2 linked regions of the Lonchura striata genome follow. The protein of the gene in region 2 purifies or fractionates together with the protein of the main gene of each other region. This does not show direct contact. Links are inferred from orthologs where the notes say so. Each region holds a gene or a part of one and is shown on either strand. Other genes may lie near its edges.

What was found.
Region 1: the proteins of LZTFL1 (region 2) and BBS7 purify together in Homo sapiens (affinity purification with mass spectrometry; 3 studies listed by BioGRID and IntAct, counting the BioPlex papers as one, with this or other methods). This does not show direct contact. The link is inferred for Lonchura striata from reciprocal best matches to the Homo sapiens genes LZTFL1 and BBS7.

What each region holds. Positions count from the first base shown.
Region 1 is NC_134606.1:69,507,307-69,517,302, reverse strand, and holds the start of BBS7 (BBSome complex member BBS7), read right to left. Parts: upstream 4,349-9,996; 5' UTR 4,274-4,348; coding exon 4,238-4,273; intron 4,085-4,237; coding exon 4,019-4,084; intron 2,825-4,018; coding exon 2,762-2,824; intron 1,958-2,761; coding exon 1,782-1,957; intron 1,214-1,781; coding exon 1,027-1,213; intron 367-1,026; coding exon 294-366; intron 1-293. Other genes in the region: TRPC3 (short transient receptor potential channel 3), read right to left, coding at 5,190-5,332, 7,595-7,670, 8,174-8,257, 8,778-8,987.
Region 2 is NC_134603.1:111,322,341-111,331,972, reverse strand, and holds the start of LZTFL1 (leucine zipper transcription factor-like protein 1), read right to left. Parts: upstream 3,925-9,632; 5' UTR 3,844-3,924; coding exon 3,841-3,843; intron 1,944-3,840; coding exon 1,819-1,943; intron 1,368-1,818; coding exon 1,173-1,367; intron 664-1,172; coding exon 603-663; intron 1-602. UniProt on the Homo sapiens protein: Regulates ciliary localization of the BBSome complex. Together with the BBSome complex, controls SMO ciliary trafficking and contributes to the sonic hedgehog (SHH) pathway regulation. May play a role in neurite outgrowth. May have tumor suppressor function.

The sequences.
Region 1 (9,996 bases), on a different chromosome or scaffold from region 2:
ACCTGGGCATGGCCCCCAAAAGTCCAGTTTGTTTTTACACAATGAGACCCCTCAGATCTCACTAGTGCTGTAAGATGTCTTCAACTGAATGTTAATATAATTTAGAACTGTCTAAAACAGTCATGTCTTTTTTACTTATACGTAAAGAATTACCTTGCATAGTCACTTTTCTGCTGCATTTTTAAAATCGGCTTAAAAATCAGGACAAAATAATTAACAAAGACAAGCTACAAAATCTTGAAAACATAGTAAAATAGCATTATTAATTTTGTGTATATTCTAAGTCTTGTTACCCCCATTTCCATTGCTCAGAGCAAGAACAGTAGGTGGTCCAGGAAGTTCTACTTCATACAGCAAATCAGATCCCTGAAGACAAAGAGAACAATCTCAAATGAATTTGTTAAAAAAAACAACACTCACAACCAAAACAACAACAAAAACCTCCAAAACACCAGCCACATACCAAACCAAAGTCCCACAATGACAAAATTATTATGGATCATAATAAAATGTAAGATTTACTTATTCAAACTCCTATGGGAAAACCATGTCTAAGCCAAAAACAGGGTGAAGTTTGTACAAATAAAACACAGGACTCCTGAAACGTGTTATTATAATTTTAAATGATCCAGGAACTCAGCTGGCAATTTAATATGTTAAACCCCTTAGTATCACTCAAGACTTGTCGCAACAGTAATTTATGAGAGCAAGAATTCCCAAAGTGATAAAGCCTTCAGGAAATTAAATGAGCACTTTTAGTTAGAAGGGACCAATTTGTCATCAACTTCCACCTATGAATTCCAAAGCCTGTCTATAGTGGTTTCATTAATCCTCATTTTTTACAAGTTTATGATGATTCTCCTTTCGAAAAACAGCAGCAAGGGAATGCACCAGCAGCAGCATTACCAAGTAAGGCACAGTGTACTGATCCTGATCCTGTTTAAGCCATGCTGATATGTATTCCCTTATTAATTAGTCCAATTCCACAGAACCATACATAAAACATAAAGAAGGGGGCATTTTAACCTGTAACACCCTGAGCACTCTGTCCTGACATGCAAGCACTGGTGTGATGCAGTTCACTTTGTCTACAGGAAGGCAGAGAACATCATTGATTTTATCTCCTGACAGGAAGTAGTGCTGGTCCTTGCAGTCACAGTAATGGTTATAGATGTAGCTTGCACAGAGAAAGAGATCTGCTCCTGAAATGTACCTGAGGAGAAGAAAACACTTCCTGTAGCCTCTTGCTGCAGTAGGAGTCCTTTATGCTTTTATGCCTTACTATGCTTACAGCTCCAAGGTAATATGGGGCCCTGCAAGCTGTTCCAGCTTTTAGAGTTCCTTACAAATATTAAAACCATGTGGTTTCTACAGCTCTCACATTTCTACTTTGTCTTCAGGTACATCCTTAAGAATATCTTTATAGAAATTTCATTACTATAATTTTTATGCTGATTTGTCAATGGCAGCATCTTACACTGCAATCCAAAAGAGATTTTGCTCCAGGAGCTGTGTGGACAGGATGCACTGTATCAATAACCCCAGCTCTGCTCACTCAGATTTTGCACTGCTGTGAGTGCAATGAGTCCAGACCACTCCCAATTCCCCCCACACTTCCAAGACTTCTCTGTGATATTCCAAATTCCTCCAACAGGTTACAGCACAAGCTGAAGCTGGACTAGCACTTAGTGTCACCTACACAATATGCTTAACATTAATGCATAAAATCATAAACAAACAATCTGCTATAACTGCCAAAAAATGCAAAATATCATACATACATAGCTTTGATGCTTTCAGTAAGGTTAGTTTCAAAGGAAAGAAACTGCTTCCCTCTTTTTGTGAAACCTCTGACTTCGGATCCTATAGCCACAAAAATTTTCTCCTGTGGTGTATTAAGAGCTCCTCCCAGCTCCAGTCTGGAGATCTTTTGTCCTGGTAGCGTCTTGAACACTGGCTGTCAACAGAAAATCAATTTTCATCATCACAATATCATATTTACAGTAATCTTTTAACATAAAGGATAGGAAATTTACAATTTCTGGCAAAACTAAGATGCAATGGATTGTACACAGACAAAAATAATCTGCATATTTATCTTCAGAATCACAGAGCAATCAAGCATTTTATCAGTAAATACATACAAAAAGCTTTAAAACACAATAAATTAAGATTTCATTACTTCATTGTTATTAATTCATCTATGGGAAAAATTCAGCACTGCTGTCAGCTGTTTTGTTTGTGGTTTGTTTTTTTATTTTAAAGAACAACACACACACACTCCCTCCCTCTCACATGTTACGTTCTTATTCCAGAAGTCTACATTGATTTATTTGTATTGCTATAGAATACTTATGAGCTGACCATGGACTTCCTGGAGAAGAAAACCCATGGAAAAAAAAAGTTTTATTGCATTGGGCATAAAAAGCAATCAGTTTGTTCAAATCCTTAAGGTGATTTAATAAATCTCTGCAGGTTTTTGTCTTGTTACAATAACTGTGTATGTACTCAGGCTTAAGCCAAACTTAATAGAAGTTAAGTTTTTTTTCCACATTAGTTTTTGACTGTAACTGTGGAGAATCCTGTGCTTGATCAGGCATGAGATCAGCATGCCCTCACCACAGTTAGGCATCAGGCCACAGCTCTACCTAGACCCCTTCCACTGGCATCTTATTTGCCACATCAATAAAAAATGAACTTTCAAAGTTCACTGGAAAGAATATTCCAAAAATAAAAATTTAAATGGAACATTTCCACTTACCACAGCTTCCCCCTTTTTTATGCCAAAGCACGTAACGACCCCATCCTGATCTCCAACAACCACCTTCAAAAGTGTAATACATTGTTATTTTTTATTACACACACAACTGTGGTTTTAAATAATACTCTTCCTGTATTCACAGAATCACAGAATGGTTTGGGTTGGAAGGGACCTTAAAAATCACCCAGCTCCAATCCCTTGCCAGGGACAGGGACACCTGCCACTATCCCAGGTTGCTCATGTTCCATCCAACCTGACTTTGAACTCTTCCAGGGATAGAGCAGCCACAGCTTCTCTGGGTAACCCTCAGAGGAAAGAATTTTTTCCTTCTATTTAATCTATACCTATTCTCTTATGAGTTTGAAACCATTTCCCCTTGTCCTGTCACTACATGCTATCGTAAATAGTCCTCTATTATAATGTTAATGATATTTTCATTTATTTAAGGACTCAAAGTTCTAGAGTACTTAATTACATACGGAAGTATACTAAGATCTATATAAAATGCTATAGATAGGATATTGAACAGCAGTTCAAGTACAGGCATTTGCAATCCTTTTCCTGTTTCTACTTTTAAATGTCAGCAACCATGAGGTGAAGATGTATTTGGGAAAAGTTGTGTTTTCACACTAAGACTTTATTACTGAAAAAAAATCAGCTACTTCTATTGAGTTTCCCTAACAAGGTTTCCTTAATTTGAACTTATATTAAGGAGAACTTAAAAAAAAAAAATTTCATAGAATCCTCAAGGTTGGAAAAGACATTTAAGATCATCAAGTTCAACCATCAAGTTGTCATTATTACTATAACCTCTAAACCATGGCACCCACCCAGTGCCAGATCCAGACACCTCTTAAACACCTCCAGGGACGGTGACTCCACCTGCTCCCTGGGCAGCCTAGTCCAATGCTTGACCATCTTAACAGTAAAATATTTTTTAAATATCTAACCTGAATCTCCCTTGTCTCAGCTTCAGGCCATTTCCTCTAGGCTTAAGTGGAATAGAGAAATATGGAGGAACTCCTTTGTGGTTTCAGCAACGCTGTAAACTACAAAAATTCCTTCCCGGTTCTGAAGTTTTCCAATCACAAATTAGGGGTTTTTTTTCTATTTTTTTTCCCCACAAAAAAGGTTTTCCAAACCCCCAAAATGGGCTTGCAGTCTTTCCCTATGACGTCCTATATCTAAGGAAACTCTGGGGATGATTAACGATGGGATGAGGCACAGGACAGGAGCGAAGCACCAGGCGGTCGGTACCTTCTGCGTGGACTTCTTCCCGGAGGCGGGCAGCAGCCTCATCGTCTTCTGCGCCGTGACTCCCACCTGTGGATGGAAGAGACGCTCCAGAGCGGGGCCCGCAGCGCCGGGACGCGCCCCGGGCCGCTCGCAGGCCCCGCCGCACGGCCGCCCCTTGCCCCGGCGGGCCGTGCCGCCTGGTCCCGCTGCCGGGGGCTGCCGGAGCGCTGCCGTGCCCACCTGCAGGTAATCCACGCGTGCCAGGCTGGGCTCCATCGCTCCCGCGGGACGCGCGGCCCTCCCGCGGGCACGGCGCGCCCGCCGCCCGTCACCGCGGCAACCTCCGCGCGGCGGCCGCCTCCCATTGGCTGGGCGGGCGGGAGGGGGCGGGGCCTCGGCCAGACGGGCGCTGCGATTGGCTGGAATGCCCCGGGGCGGGGCAAGGGGCGGGCAGAGCCGGGGGCGCCGCGGAGAGGCTCCCGCAGGAACGGGGCGGAGGGGGATGCCGGGCTCGGTGCCGAACCGGGCGGGAGGTGTGGTTTATTTAACAACGAAGCCGAAAATATCTGCCCTGCGCGGTGTCTGAGTTAAAAAAAAAAGCCTTACTCGGTGCGGGTACGTGTATACAGAGACATGTTAAATAGCGCTGCTGCCATTACATTACATTCCAACTTACCTGGTTCTCAGCATTTCCTTGTGGTCATAACCATGAGTTTTGGGCTTACACGCGTTACTAATACTACTAATAAAGAACAAAGATTTCAAGTAATCCTCCACTCATGTCTAGTTGGTTTATTGTAGTATGAAAAATCCTATTTTGTACCTGGACACTGCAAGGAACAGAGTATTACGCTGTATCTGTTAATTTTTTGTCTTGCAAATTTAGTGCAAAGAATTCTCCATATGTAACCATAAACCTGTTAAAATATCAGCGATCGATACCATTATACCTTTTTAATGCATAAATGAAAAAAAAATTATGGTAGTTCTTGCTTTTAGACAATTAAAATGAAGAGAGCAATCTTTTTGTGGTGAGTTAATAAAAGTTCCTAAGACTAAATTCCAGAGAAGCTGTACATAAAGTTATTTAGTGCTAAAAATCTACAATACATTTTTTTCAAGTATGAGATACTGAAATATTATTGCCAATAAATAGTTGTGCTGTAGTCGAAGCCACGTTTCCTTTGTGGAATCATTCACATCTCAGCATATTAGGATTTAGTTTCTCACTGAGTTTATGTATTAAAATTGCCAACTCTTCTGTTGCTTGGGACTTATCCTCCAACAGTTCATAGCGAAGACTGGAGATGTCCTGTTTGATTTCCTTTAATTCACCTGCATTAATAATGGAAACAAACACTTGTTAGCAAAGTTTAACATTCACTGGATACTCCTCTGTTAAGTCACATCAGTGCCTATCTCAGATCATCATCCCAAAATGTTCATGAGAGCAGGTACAGGATGGGTCAGGAGGATATACCTCATCTTCATTCTCAGTGAGATGTGTCTCCAGCCCTAAATAGCACCGAAGGAATTTTAATAGTCCATTGGGGACTCGAATTGTGCTCCACGTGTATACACAACACCAAAGATTCCCAAGGGCTGTACAAAGGTTAATGAATTAATCACACCAACACTGCTGAACAGCTGGTAAATATTAGTACCCCCTTTTTAGAGAGAAAAGGAAAAGAGGTTTTTTTCTGAAGGGATGTGCCAAAATCACAAAGGAAAGGTGTGGCAGAGCTGGCAGTAAAACTCACAGCTTCTGAGTCTCTCTCCTCTTCCTTACCAACATCCTTGGAATTAGAAAAAGTCAACCAATTTAACATGATGTTATAATTTGACACAAATACAAAAAACACATATAAACAAAGCTGTCAAAGCCAGACTTGTAATAAGCAGCAGCATGGTTTACCTTGTAGGATATTCAGTTCAAGAGCAAAAGCTTTAAAAAATGTTCAGATATTGGTCTTCCAGCAAGTGTGAGGGATGTGAATTCTTACACAGCATCTGCCTCAGGAAATGATTTGTCATGTATACAGTAGAAGAGTATGAAGAGACACCTAAATTCCCTAATGATGCAGAACAGGGAAAACCTCTAGACTTTTGTTAAAGCAGTTGTAGTACATAGACATGCCAACGTTTCCTGTTTGGGGTATAGCAGATTTCAAGAACTGTGTCTTCGGAGGCTGGGTCTGTGCTTTGGGTACCAATGAGATGCTCAGGACACAGAGTACTTGGCTGTGCAGCTGAAGAGTGAAACTCAATGGTTACTTGCCCTGATCAAAGTGGACTTTCTTCTATAAAACTTGGTGCCAAAGCCAGAAGCATGATGTCAGCAAATCCTGATTCTTCTGCACTGTCTTTCTAATTTAAACATCTCTGCCAACACCAAAGTGGCATCAGGGACCTGGAAAGGGCTGGCACTGCTGGTGGCAGAACAGTCTTTTCATCAGTCACTAGGTAGATGATTTCATACATCACAGAGCAGGAACAGGAGGAAAGCAGTGGGAATTCAGGAGAGCAGCACACTGAGAGGATTCACTTTTAGGAGCCTTTCTGCTTTTGTCAGTGACAATCACAGCTCTGGATAGTCACACAGGATGGGGAAATGTCAGGGTAACAGTCAGTGCACAATGCTGCCTTTTGAAGGCACTGAGGGGGATTTAATTTAATCTTTTTTGTTCCCTGCTTCTCCCTGCAGAGAGTTACAGGTAAGCAGAGAGCAACTAAGGAGCAAAACAGAAGCTTTGCTGCCTTAGCCGAGAGATGAGCAGCACTTTTAGGCCCCTTATATGCACACAGCTGCCTGATGCTGCCATGCCAGTAAAACATCTTCTGACCCCAGGCTGTCCATCACTGCATCACTCTGTTGCTTGATAACATTCTAGCTAGAGTTTTTGTCTGGGGATCTGCCCAGAGCATAGGAGTTTCCTTGTTGGACTGCAGGCTTGTGTTTCATTCCTGGAAGATTGGAAGGAGGGAGGACCACCTTTGCCATAATCTCATCCCAGTGGTGAGTGAGGGCATGCACCTGGAGCAAGTACCTCTCACAGGGAGCTCAGATCCACTGTTTCTCAAAAGGTCTCCCACTAAAATAGAGGTTACATTTGACATTTTTTATCACCATGCAGCTGTGGGGCTTTGTTTAATGATGGGCAGCTTCACAGGTGATTATTCCTTGAAGCTTTATGAAGGAAGGCAGGACCAGTAATTCGTGGTGTAAAGTGGTAAATTGTGTATAATTGTGTGTTCAGTTCAATGAAACAGAGAGGAAGATCCTGCAGATTTGATTAGCACTCTGGAAGTGTGAATACAGTTAATAGCTCCTTCACAGATTTCCTCTGTGCATTATGTTTGTGCTCTTATTTTCTATCTGTAGAATGGGGCCCATAACATTTCTCAGTCCTACTTCTTTAGTCATGCTTTTCCATTTTTTTGATGACATGGGCATACTTCCATTACTATCTGAGCCTCAGTGCATGTGAAATAGAAACAATCCCTCTTTTCACTCAAAACCCCCATGCATCATGTAATACTGGTTCCTAATACAACATGAAAAAAAATTGCCTCTGAATATTGCAGTCTTTTTCTTACCTTCATTGACTTCATCATTTTCTTTGTCCACTTGTGCTTTCAGAACATAACGTTTTATCAGTCTCTTCATTATTTGCTGCCAGATTAAAACAGTTATATAATCAGGTGAGATAATATAATTAAACATTGTTCATTTTTCTTTCTTAGCTCTCTCTGTCACATCTGCCTAAGAGAAAGAATGAACAGCTCTGAATGAAGTACTTGCCTCAAATGGGCTTTTCTGGGGGCATGCTGAGAAAGGAAGGGAACAGCCAACCTAGTCAGCTTTTATATCCCTTGCCCAGAAACCCACTTCAGATACTCCTTCACCAATTTCAGATGTTTGCTCCTCACACTTTCCCAACTGAGACATCAAAGACCAATTCTAAGTACTGCATGAGCTCGTTTTGAAATGCTTCAAATAACTATATGAAGGGCTTATACAATAACTGTCTTTTCTTTCAAGGAGCACTTAAGAGTTTGATTTCTACAGGAGGTTTTCTTTATCTGGTGAAGGCAAAATGTACTTGAAACACAAAATTCTGCTAGAACATTCTCACTGTTCTATTACACAGGACAGTGATCACTGTATATACTTACCTGATAGCGTGTTGGCTGATTGAGAATGCTGTTAAAACTGTGGGATTCAAAAACTCTGGAATTCGACTGAGTGAAAAGGTTTAACTAGGAAGAAATAAGACAAAATTAAAATAAATTATGGAATTCACAGTTAGGATTCAGCTCCATTATTATTTTCCTTTAGAAATGTTTGGGATCTTTCCATCTTTTACTATATCAGAGTATTTTTTTTTTAATGAGATTGCCTTGAATTATATGTTGGTTTTGGATTTGTTTTTTTTTTAATGCTGATAATTTTAGCCATCCTGTTCTGAGAAAATAGACTCAAAGTATCCTTAATCAATATTCAAGTAACTCCTTGCAGGAATTATTTGCATCTTTGAGCAGTCATCAATTTTTGGTTTAATTCTGTTTTCCCAGATTTGGTTGTTCTAACAAAATTTAAGTCTATTTCTTGTTTTATGCAGTATGTTTAGGTAGTCTGAAATAGAGATTTAGTGCTATAAATTATTAGTTACTCTATTATCATCAGAAGCATGGATTATAAGTTAAAGCTAAAAAGAAAAGAAGATTGCTGGAATAGACACAGAATTCTTCACTGCAATGAAAAGATCTCAGAACCTACCCTCGATTTGGAGTTGCCCATTCCCATTTCAATGTCCTTCTGTAGCCGTCTCCTCCTGCACTTAGAAAAGTTAATGATCCTCATGATGAAATAGAAAAAAGACTTGGGGCTTGGTACAAGACTGAAGGGTGGAGGTAACGTTTTTCCATCATCAAAATAGGACAGCCAAAGTTTAGAACGAGCAAACTTCCACTCTACATCACTGTCATCCTGTGTTACAAAATAAAACAGATGATGCTCTTGGTTTTTATGAAATGCAAAGCTTCTTTCAAATGAAACTGCTTTGAAATATCTTTCTGGTTTTAGATAAAATATTATTTTCTTGCTAGTAAGACTTCCAGCAGTTCTGCAAAAATGCAGCCACTTTACTTAGTCTATTTTAAACAAATTTCAGTTGTCTCTTATGGCAACATTTCATTGAGAATACTTAGTTCAAGCACATGAAAAAACAAGCATAATTTTTGCATCAAGTGAAAGCCAACATATAAACTCCCTGCTATTTAAAGCGGAACTTTCAGGGATTTTCAAGTCTTGTTTTTCTTATTAAAGCAGTCACATGGGCTTGGTACTTGCACAAGTGTTGAAGTATTAGACTCAAGGCAAAAAATGGCTTAAAATGGTTGTGCTCACAGCTTTTTGCATAACCAGGACAATCAACTCTGATCTATAATGGAGTATGAAAAATGCAAACTTTGTAGTGCTGAAGAAATTGTGTTCAATACTGACAAACCTATTTTGTCCTAATACACTCTTACTGAAGTATTCCAAGGCTGGATTGTAACTAGTTTTCTCCTGCTCAATTCCCTAACACTTTCCAGAACTCATTGAAAACACTGGGAATGACATATCCATTTGTGTACTATGTCTCAGATAATTGTTCTTCCTGTTTGTGTGGGTGTGTGCCTGCATCTGTGTGAATGTAGTACTCTTCGGACTCATGGTTTGGAAAGCTGGCACTATAAATACACTTCACATTTTTCACTATAAATACATTTCACTATAAATACATTTTTCATTTCAGTAACCTGAGATTTATTTTTGAAACCCAAGTATCTTCAATGCTATACATTTTCTGATTTGTTTTTTAACTGGAGTTGGATGCCAAATATTGTGTTTACATGGCACGAGATAAACCTGTTTAGATCCTTTGAGTTTCTGCAGCTTGGCTGAGTTGTTAGATAAAGTCAGCCTTCTTTTATACATTTTGTGATATCCTTTC
Region 2 (9,632 bases):
CATCCTGCAGCAATCAAAAGAAAAAAGGAGTAAGAAGAACATAATATTTGAGTGATCGCAAGAGTAAAAAGTATTTTCAAAGCTCCAAATAATTTTCTCATTTAAGATACTAAAATTAGCATATATATATATATACACAATATAATATACATAAATACACCTTTATGCTACAAACCAAATAAGGTTTGCAACTATATTCAAGCAAGACAAACTAGAGTGATATCTGTACTGTGCAATCTTCTCAGCTCTTGGGTCCATGCTGGGACAAGCGAATGTCCCAGTCTCAGCCCTGGTGCCAGAGGAAGGAACCCAGAAGCAGACACTGCCACATATTCCTGGTGTGGCTAACCTTGGGATGAGGTGTGTGAGGCACACCTCAGAAGGGCAGAACAGATTCTTTGGAAACAGCCAAGGCACTTCAGAGGGAGCCTTGGTGCCAAAATGCAAAATGACTTTTTGGAGAGTTTCAAAGATTGTTTTATAAAAAAAAAAGTGGGGTTTTGGTTTTCTCCTAAGCAGAAAGAGTCAATAATAAATATTTTAAACATCTGTCATGATTCCACAGGACATTTAATTATGATTTGATTAAAATGAAATTCTACCTTTTTGTTTGAAGATGTATATTCTGACTTTTCAAACTCAGCAACCTGGTCCAATAATTCTCTTGGGAAAAAAAAAATAAAGAGGCATTTATTTACCAAAGAAAAATTTAAGGAGGCATTTCTTTACTAAGAGCTACACTATGAAACATATTTTACCAAGCTGGTGCTATGCTTTTTCTTGCATGTAAAATTCTTGTTAGAAGTACAGAATTAAGTCTTACAGAAATATAAATGCAACAGATCATGTCACATAATGGCATGATACATGCAGTGCAATAGATTTAGCATCCTTAATTAAAATATAATCTAACCAGATAACAAAAGCTTTTTAATTGAGTCCAGTGACCTGCTCTTAAATGATTAATTCAAGTAAGAATATTACTAACAAAACATCTTGCTCACAATTTTGAAATTATTTTGTATCTTGCTATTTTACAGATGGAAACATTGAAGCTAACCTATCATTGATATAATAGTAAAATAATAGGTTTCTGTGCTTAGGAAAAGAATGCAAATAGTCAACACTTTGAAGTATTCTTATTGTTGCAAGTATAGTCCAACAGCTGTTACCGATTTTCCAAGTCAGAGACATCAGTCTGTAACTTCAGGTACCATTTCTCAGCCTGTGAGAAGAGCTGCCGCAGAAGTAGAACGTTGGTGTAAGTTGTGTTTATGAGCTCTGACTCCACTTCGCTGTGTACAACACTCTGCAGTCCATCCAGCATGTCTGTCACCTCGTCAACTGTGAAGGTCTCTTCAACGAGTCTAAGCAGAGAGGTCAAGATGAGTCAAGTATGATAAAGGTAACAATTGTGCCTTATGAGATCTCACTACACAGGCACCACTCGTATAATGCAATGTTTTATAAAAACATCCACTGGCAGTCGTTGTTAGATTACCACAACATTACTAATTGGTTACTGTATTTGAATTTTCTCTTTAAATCATTAAAGTCACAAATACTAATTCAGCTACTGCCTTGTATCAAATTTACATATCAGAAGCAAGACGTGCAGCAATGTCATGCTGTCAATATCTCTGTTAATTCCTAAGAATTTGACAAACTTGGGTTTAAAAGCATTTGACTTGTAACTTCTGGAAAATACAAGAACATACAAACCTAAATGGAGAAAAATTGCCCCATAAAGTATTCAAACCTGCCACTGCTGCTAGCATATTTTGCTTTATTCTTGCTCAGCACCACCCCACACAGCACCTGCTGTCCTTGAGGTCCTGGAAACAAGAATCCACTGTTTTGAGACACATGCCCCGCTTGAAACGAGCGAAGCGCATGTAGCTGACCACTTCGTTCTGGTGGTGCTCATTAACACCCAGCTCTGCCTGTGGAGGAGGATACAAGCACAAAGACAAACATAAGGAAAAATGAGCATAACTACTGTGAATACTTGCCTTCTGACTAGTTTCTGTGATTGCTTTCACAGGGTTCTAACTAGCATGTTGAAAAACAAACATATTTTCATATATCGAGTCCCTGTGCACCTCTCATAAGTGGGTGAGAAAGTTCCAATACTTGGAAGCAAGGATTCAAGTAACGTAAAAAAAGTCATACAAAATCAGAGACAGAGGTAAACAGAGGATCAGAAGCAGAAGGACTGAGACAAAGCTCTTGGATAAATATATCTTGGTATTACATTACACATGCATAATGTAGCTGAATGATATATCTTCTATAGATGTACTAACAAAAAACCCAGAGGAAAGTATGCTATGTTTGTTACTTTTTATGTGAACTCCTGAGACTTCTCACAGAATCACAGAATGTTTGTGTTGGAAGGGACCTTAAAGACTATCTAGTTTCAACTCCCTGCCACAGGCAGGCACACCTCCCACTAGACCAGGTTACTCAGAGTTCCATCCAACCTGGCTTTGAACACTGCCAGGGATGGAGCATCCATAATTTCCCTGGGCAACCTGTTGCCTCACCACCCTCACAATAAACATTTTTTTCTGTCTATCTAATCTAAATCTACTCTCTTTCAATTAGTGCCCTGAACTATAGCTGCAGTTCCTGATGAAGAGTCCCTCTCTGGAAGGTTGTTATGAGGTCTCTCCACAACTTTTTCTTCTCTAGGCTAAACATCCCCAACTTGTCTATTTTTGTAGGGGAAGTGTTCCAGTGCTCTTGTCAGCTTCATATCCTTCCTCTGGACTTGCTCCAACACCTCCATGGCCTTACTGTGCTGGAAACACCAGAACTGTATGCAACACTCCAGATGGGGTCTCATAACAACAGTGGGGAATCATTTACCTCAACCTGCTGGCCATGCTGTTTTTGAAGAAGATCTTGAGTGATAATCTGAATTTATTTCTCAACATCCCTAAACCAGGACACCCAGAAACAACCGAAGGGAAATTAAGAAGGAAGTAATTTTAGACCTGGCTAAGTAGCCCTTTTATGCGTGCCTTTATTTCAAAGAATTACTGGCATGGGCAATCACATCGGAACTACACAGCTCATGCAGGCAGCATGAATGACAAGGAAGCACAACAGGGGAGTGGGAGTTTATCACCACAGTCCCTGGAGAGCTGATGGAAAGGCAGGTCCATTCATTGACTCCAATGTACTTTGTTAGCTTGGCTGATGTTGGGGAGAGACAGCAGTGTTGTAACTCAGCCAAAACAGTTCCTCTGATCACCTTGTCCTTAGGGAAGCTCCAGTGACAATGCTATCCTGGGATACCTGGATGAACAATCAATACTCTGGAAACTAAATGCAGCCGAGGAAGAAGCACCAGCGCTAAATAAAATCAGCTCTCATAGTGTGGCTGCAAGACTGATGTCGCCCACAAAATCCCACATATTGCAGATGAGAGATCATATAGAAAGCTAAATTAATGTTTTTGCTGTTGCTGAAGGGTTTTTTTAGTTGAAAAGCTTCTATTCATTATAGAGAGAAAGGAAAGTACACTAGTAAATGAACACATAAGCACAGGCCACTTGTGATCTGCGACTCAGCCACGCTGACACTCAGCCACCTGGCCACTGCATCCCGCAATACCCCCAAGCCCTGGGAGTCTCCGCGGGGACGGCAGGGATGCTCAGGAAGGCAGGTGTCGGCTCGCGCATGAGGGCAGGCCGCAGCCCGGGCCCTGCTGCGGGCCGGCCGCCGCAGCGGAGCGGCTCCGTGCCGGGGTGCCGGGAGGAAGCGGGAGTGCCGGGAGGAAGCGGGAGTGCCGGGCGGCCGCGGCCGCTACTCGCCACGGCGGCCGCTACTCACCATGGCGGCCGCTCCGCCGGCGCTCGGACGGCTGCGGGCCCGGCGTTGCCCTGGAGACCGAAGCCTCGCGAGCGCCCGCGGCGCGCTGCCATTGGCCGCGGCGCGCCCACGTGACCCGTGCGCCGCGGAACCAGGTCAAGCCGATGTTTTCTCTCTCCTTTTTTTTTTTTTTTTTTTTTTTTTTTTTTTTTTTTTTTTTAAAAAGCCTTTACCTTTGTGTTTTCTACCTGCTCAGGTGCCATTCGGAAAATTGTACTGTGTAGCAGTGAGCTGCTGAAGAGGTAGGGCAGTTAGGCGCGATGGGAAATATCCCACGTTTATTTACACCACCTAAGATTTTTTTTCCCAAAGGCTTTTTCACTAAACAAGGATTTTTACGAAGCATTAGTGTGAAAAATACATATTTTATGATTGGCTTTTCGCAAATGTTACAATGAATATTATATGTGTAATGTTAGAAAGTTATGTTGTATTAATTCTCTTAAGTTGTGTGTTAAATATAGTTTTAGGTTACAACATAATGTTGAAATAGAAACTGTGGTGTAGGATTTTTTTACTAGCTCAAGCAAGAGATGATATTATCAAGAAACTTCACACAGAGATGACAGTGACTTGGGGCCCATAAAGAGTTACAACGTCCTTATCAGAAAAGACAAATATTCTTCAACCTTTTCTTCGTCTTTATGGAATTTACCAGGATTTACCTGATTACCAGGATTAATTTACTGGAATTTACCTGATAATTTACCAGGATTAAGGGGAAAGAATTGACAAAAACCAGAAAAGTTCTTAATTTGCAAGGAATTTATGCATCATGTATGAGATGTATGAATATGCAATAGGCTATCGCTTTTAAGGTTATTCCTTTGTTCACAAGGCATGCTTTTTGTGACTTAGTGTTGGAGAGCATCCAGACATCCGTAATTCTTTGCTTTTTATTGTGTTGTAATTGTCCTAACTCTAAATTTTACTAATCTAATTGTATTACTATTTTAATAACCATTTTATTATTATTAAACTTTTAACATTTTAAAAACCAAGTGATTGGCGTTTTTCACAATTAGTATGTCAGCAGGACAACTCAGAACCATAGAACGGATTGGGGTGACAGGAACCTTAAAGATCATCTAGTTCCACCCCCTGGCATGGGCAGGGACACCTTTCACTAGACCAGGTTACTCAAAGCCCCATCCAGCTTTGAACACTCCCAGGATTGGGACATCCACAACTTCTCTGGTCAACCTGTTCCAGTGCCTCATCATCCTCACAGTGAAGAATATTTTCTTAATAACTAATCCAAACCTACTCTCTTTCAGATTGAACTCGTTCTCCCTTGTCCTGTCACTACAAGAACTTGAAGGGTTCCTTCAGGTACTGCAAGACCACAATTAGGGCACCCCAAAGCCTTCTCCAGGCTGAGTAACCCCAGTTCTCTCAGTCTTTCATAGGAGAGGTGCCCCCTCCCATCTTGGAGGTCCTCCTCTGAACTCACTCCAAGAGGTTTGTGTCTTTCCTGTGCTGGAGAGTGCAGAGTTGGATGCAGTACTCCAGGTGGGATAACTGTCACCAGAGTCTTTCACCTGGTCACCCAAAAAGTTTACAAAATGTAGAAAAATAACCTGGTATCCATCAGCTGAGTGTATGGGAAAAGTCTAACCCGTTGTAGGTGGCCCAGCTGTGTTGAACCCTGATTGCACCTAAGGAGAGGACAAAAGTAATGGGGAATTTCAGTGTAAGTAAAAGGAGTAAAAGTAAGTAAACACTGAAATTATGGATTTTGTCCATTAATTGTCCTCAAGGCCTGCAGAAAGCGACGAGATCTGTCACAGCAGAGATGCAATATTAGTGAGCCACAAACAGAGGAAATGTTGATCATTGAATCTGTCCCATTTCAAAGAGGAAGAAGGGATGTAATAGCCTTCTCCCATGACACCAGTGGACACTTCAAAAGCCAGTATCACCTTCCATATCTAGACAAGTGGTGAAAGCAGAGCACTGGAATTGCACAGCTAAATTACTAACAGACCAGGAAGCAGCAAGCTGGGAAGAGGCTGTTTGGAACACACACAGGCAGGAGGGCTGCTGCACTTGGGCAGCTGCTCCATCCAGGCACTTTCCAGAACAGAGTAGCCCCAAGGGAAAACTGCCATTCTTCCACAGTTTGAGAGTGAAAAATAGGATCCATTGCAATTTCCATTCCTCAGCATTGTACTTGTCTTACTGGAAATGGCCTGCAGTGCATTTTCATTAACTAATGGCCCTAAAAGCAGCAGTGACCAGTTTAGGATTAATGGATTAATTTGTGTAGGCAGCTGTATTGGTGGCAAATTCAACCTAATTTCTATTTACTTCAGACGCAATCAGGAACAAGTGACAATATTCCATTAAAATCGTCTAGATCAGTTCTTGAGACTGACAAAGCCTGACTCCTTCCAAATCAATTTCAGTAAACACAAGGCATAGGTGGAGTCTACATTCAAGACAGGAGACTAAGGACATGTTTACAGGAGGAGCATGCCCTCAGGGAAGGGCATCCAGGTCTGTCATAATTGAAAACAACATCCATGTGGCAATCAAGGGAGTACAGAAAGACAGGCTATATGCACAAAGGCTGTTCCTGAGCATAAGCAGCTCTACAGTAGTTTAAACTGCCCTGAAAGATCTAGCAGGAGCTGAGCTTTGGCTTGTGAGCTTGCACCTCTCTGTCCTCTGCTCTACTACACGGTATACACCGTGGCAGCATCACTTCTTCAGGTTCCTCAGCAAGCTGTGCAGAGAAAGGCGTTACTGACACACATGGTCACCAGTGATGTTGACTGGCAACTTTTGTATAGGCCATCTACAAAACAGTGTTGGCATTTGGTTGGGCCAAAACACGTTCAACCATGGGTTTATCTCATTCCTCTTCTTCAGCAATTGCTCACTACAGAGCTTAGAATGACTATGCATGAATGAAATTACTGAATGTTCAAGAAGGTTGAGCTGCAGCAACAGCCTCAGCTTCTGCTGATATGGGTTCATCTGCCTGCTCTGTACTGCAAAGATCCCTGCACCTGGAAGTGTTTACCTTGGCTGCTTCTGTGTATTTGTTAGCAAAGAGACACCAGTGAAATGAAGCACAAAAGAACTGAAGTGCATGTTTTAAGGTACCAGCCACAAAAAGAGCAACCCGTGAATGGCCAAGGTGTAACAAGAGAACAGCACAAAACACTGAACAGGGGAACCTCCCTTTCACTGATATCTTTGACCCTATGCTTCTGCTGATGCAGGAAAAGGGCAAATTAGACGCTGGGAGAAGATTAAACTAATAACAGGCACCAAAAATCTGTCACACAGGATCAGAGTAAAGACCATTTTATTTCCTTTTCTGGCTGTGGCAATAACCAGGAGTAAGAAAAGGATCAGAATGAGATACATGTGTATCCTGGACAGTTTGAGCCTTCACTACCATTTACTCTTCCTACTGAGTGGACCAGCAACTTTCTGAGCTGCCAGCCAAACCCAAACTGTGGTGGTTGATCATCATTCTGGAATCTGTCTGTTTTAATTTTCTCTAGCCCACCTTCAAAGATATTTGTTGTCTATCTTGACAACCACTGTGGGAATGTACCATATGCTCATTATTTCTTTTTGTTTAAGCCTTCAGTCTGTTCCTATCAGTGTTGTCTGGCTTTAGCTGTCTCCTGCACTTAGTGCTATGTCCATCTTGAAAAGGAGAAAATACAATAACAGAGTGTCCATGTCACACCTGCAGTGTGCATTAGGTTGTGATAAGGATTTTTGTGCTTGTTGCCAACCTCCAGAGCTTCCACAAAGGACACCAGGGTAGAAATGGGGTTCTGAGGAAAATAGCACAGAATTACAAATAAAATTATCACCTTTCATGGCTAGTATTTGGAGGGGGAGCATTTGGATTTGGGGCCCCAAAGAGCAGTATCTATTTCACAAATAATTAACAGCTGCACTTGGAGTCTCAAGCTTGTCTCTGCTCCCTCCACAACCCACTGGGACAGATCTCTGCTTTACTATTCACAATCAATATTTTCTAAGGAAACAATTTTGACCAGTTATCTTCTTCAAACATGTTTCATCTGACCTGAAGAAGCAAGTTAGAGGTCTGCAAGCACTTCCAACCAAAGTGAGTGGGGGCCCTGGGGCAGTAAAAATGTCAACAGTGGTCAAGACAAGAGACTGTCCATGTGGGGAGAACAGTCAGGATTTGAGAGCAATGTTTCTGCCATCCAAATCTAAGCCTCTTTAAAGCTGCAGGAGAAGACACATTACATTTGTGTCTGCAAACTTCCCTAACAATCCAAGCTCCCCCCTTTTGCTTGCATGCTTGAGAGTCCTATCAGTCTCATCATTCCCACAGGATCAAATACATTATTTTCCATGAGGAAGCCTGTTTGGAACACTGCCTCCTACATCATGGCACCCTAATGCAATTAAATGTACAATTCAAATTATATCTGGTCTTGTTGATGGCAAAAAAAAAAAAAAAAATTAACTTTCTGGGGGAATTACTGCATTCATTTTGGATAAGATCTTCAAGGAAAACATACTGCCAATATGAAGTGAACTTGCCATCCAGAAGAAATTAGACACAAGCCTCAGATCCATGCCAGGATTTCATCTATGCTTTTCTTCAACAGAAAGTAAAGGACACTTATTTTTTATTCACATGCTTGTCTCCACAAATTCAGAGCTTTGTTCTTTAGGAAGCTTGGTTATACCTAACAAATAGAGGGGAGCTTTCAGTTGCCATGGACACTGCTTAACTCTGGTGTTACTTCCAGACATTGTACTGGAAAGGTATCCATCTCTAGAAGTCTCACTGCACATAAGCTGAGAACTCTGCCTTATTGCTATGACTGGAAGAATGACTAACAAGTTACTATTACTATGGTAATGATATTGTAGCTGGTGGCTCTGAAGTGAAGTCTCTGAACAATAGAAGAACTGTAGGGCTCAGTTTTTATTGCTATTTGTTAGCTGTGCATGGAGAAAGAAAATTCCCTTAGGAAAATTCTGAGACTTTTCTGAGAGCTGTTTCATAGCAGCTCTCACTTGCTTTCTTTCTCATAAGTGCACACAGTGTGAACTGTGAAAACAACATAGATTATGTCAACTAGTTCATTTTCCTAGACTAGACTGATGCTGTCAGTTCAACATTTTTATTGCTTTAGCAGGAAAGAGAATTTCAAGCAGAAAAAACCCCATCTGATAATCTATTCATAGAAGCCATAAACCACCATTATCCATTAGTATCACTGAGACGCCTCTATAATGCATAATCCATAACAGTAAGAGTGATGCCAGACTGCACTTTCCTGAATGAAATGAGAATGAACCATAAACACTCACATGAATCTTTTGGGGGATATCTCATTACTGCAGGAGATAATGGCCAATATTGCATGCAATTTTCTGTTTTTAAATTATAGTAAACTATACTGTCAGTTACAGGCTAATACAAATAAGAAACCATTCCTTTGCCAGAAGGATTGCTCCTTGTAGCTTATCCTGTGTTCCCTGCAGTATATGTTTTCTATAACAACACTTCTGGTGAAATTGAAAAACAATATGTGATTACATGCTGTATTGTTATAATTTGAGCCCCTGGGTACTGTGTTAGTGATGAGATTTTCTTTAAGCACTACTCTTTTATATTTCTTTCAAAAAGATTATCTTCCTCCAATTTCCACAGAGAATCTTAATTTTTAGAGAGTACAGCCTCTACCACTGCTGTTGATTCAAGCAGACAGAGTTGAATCACAACAAAGGTGTTAAAG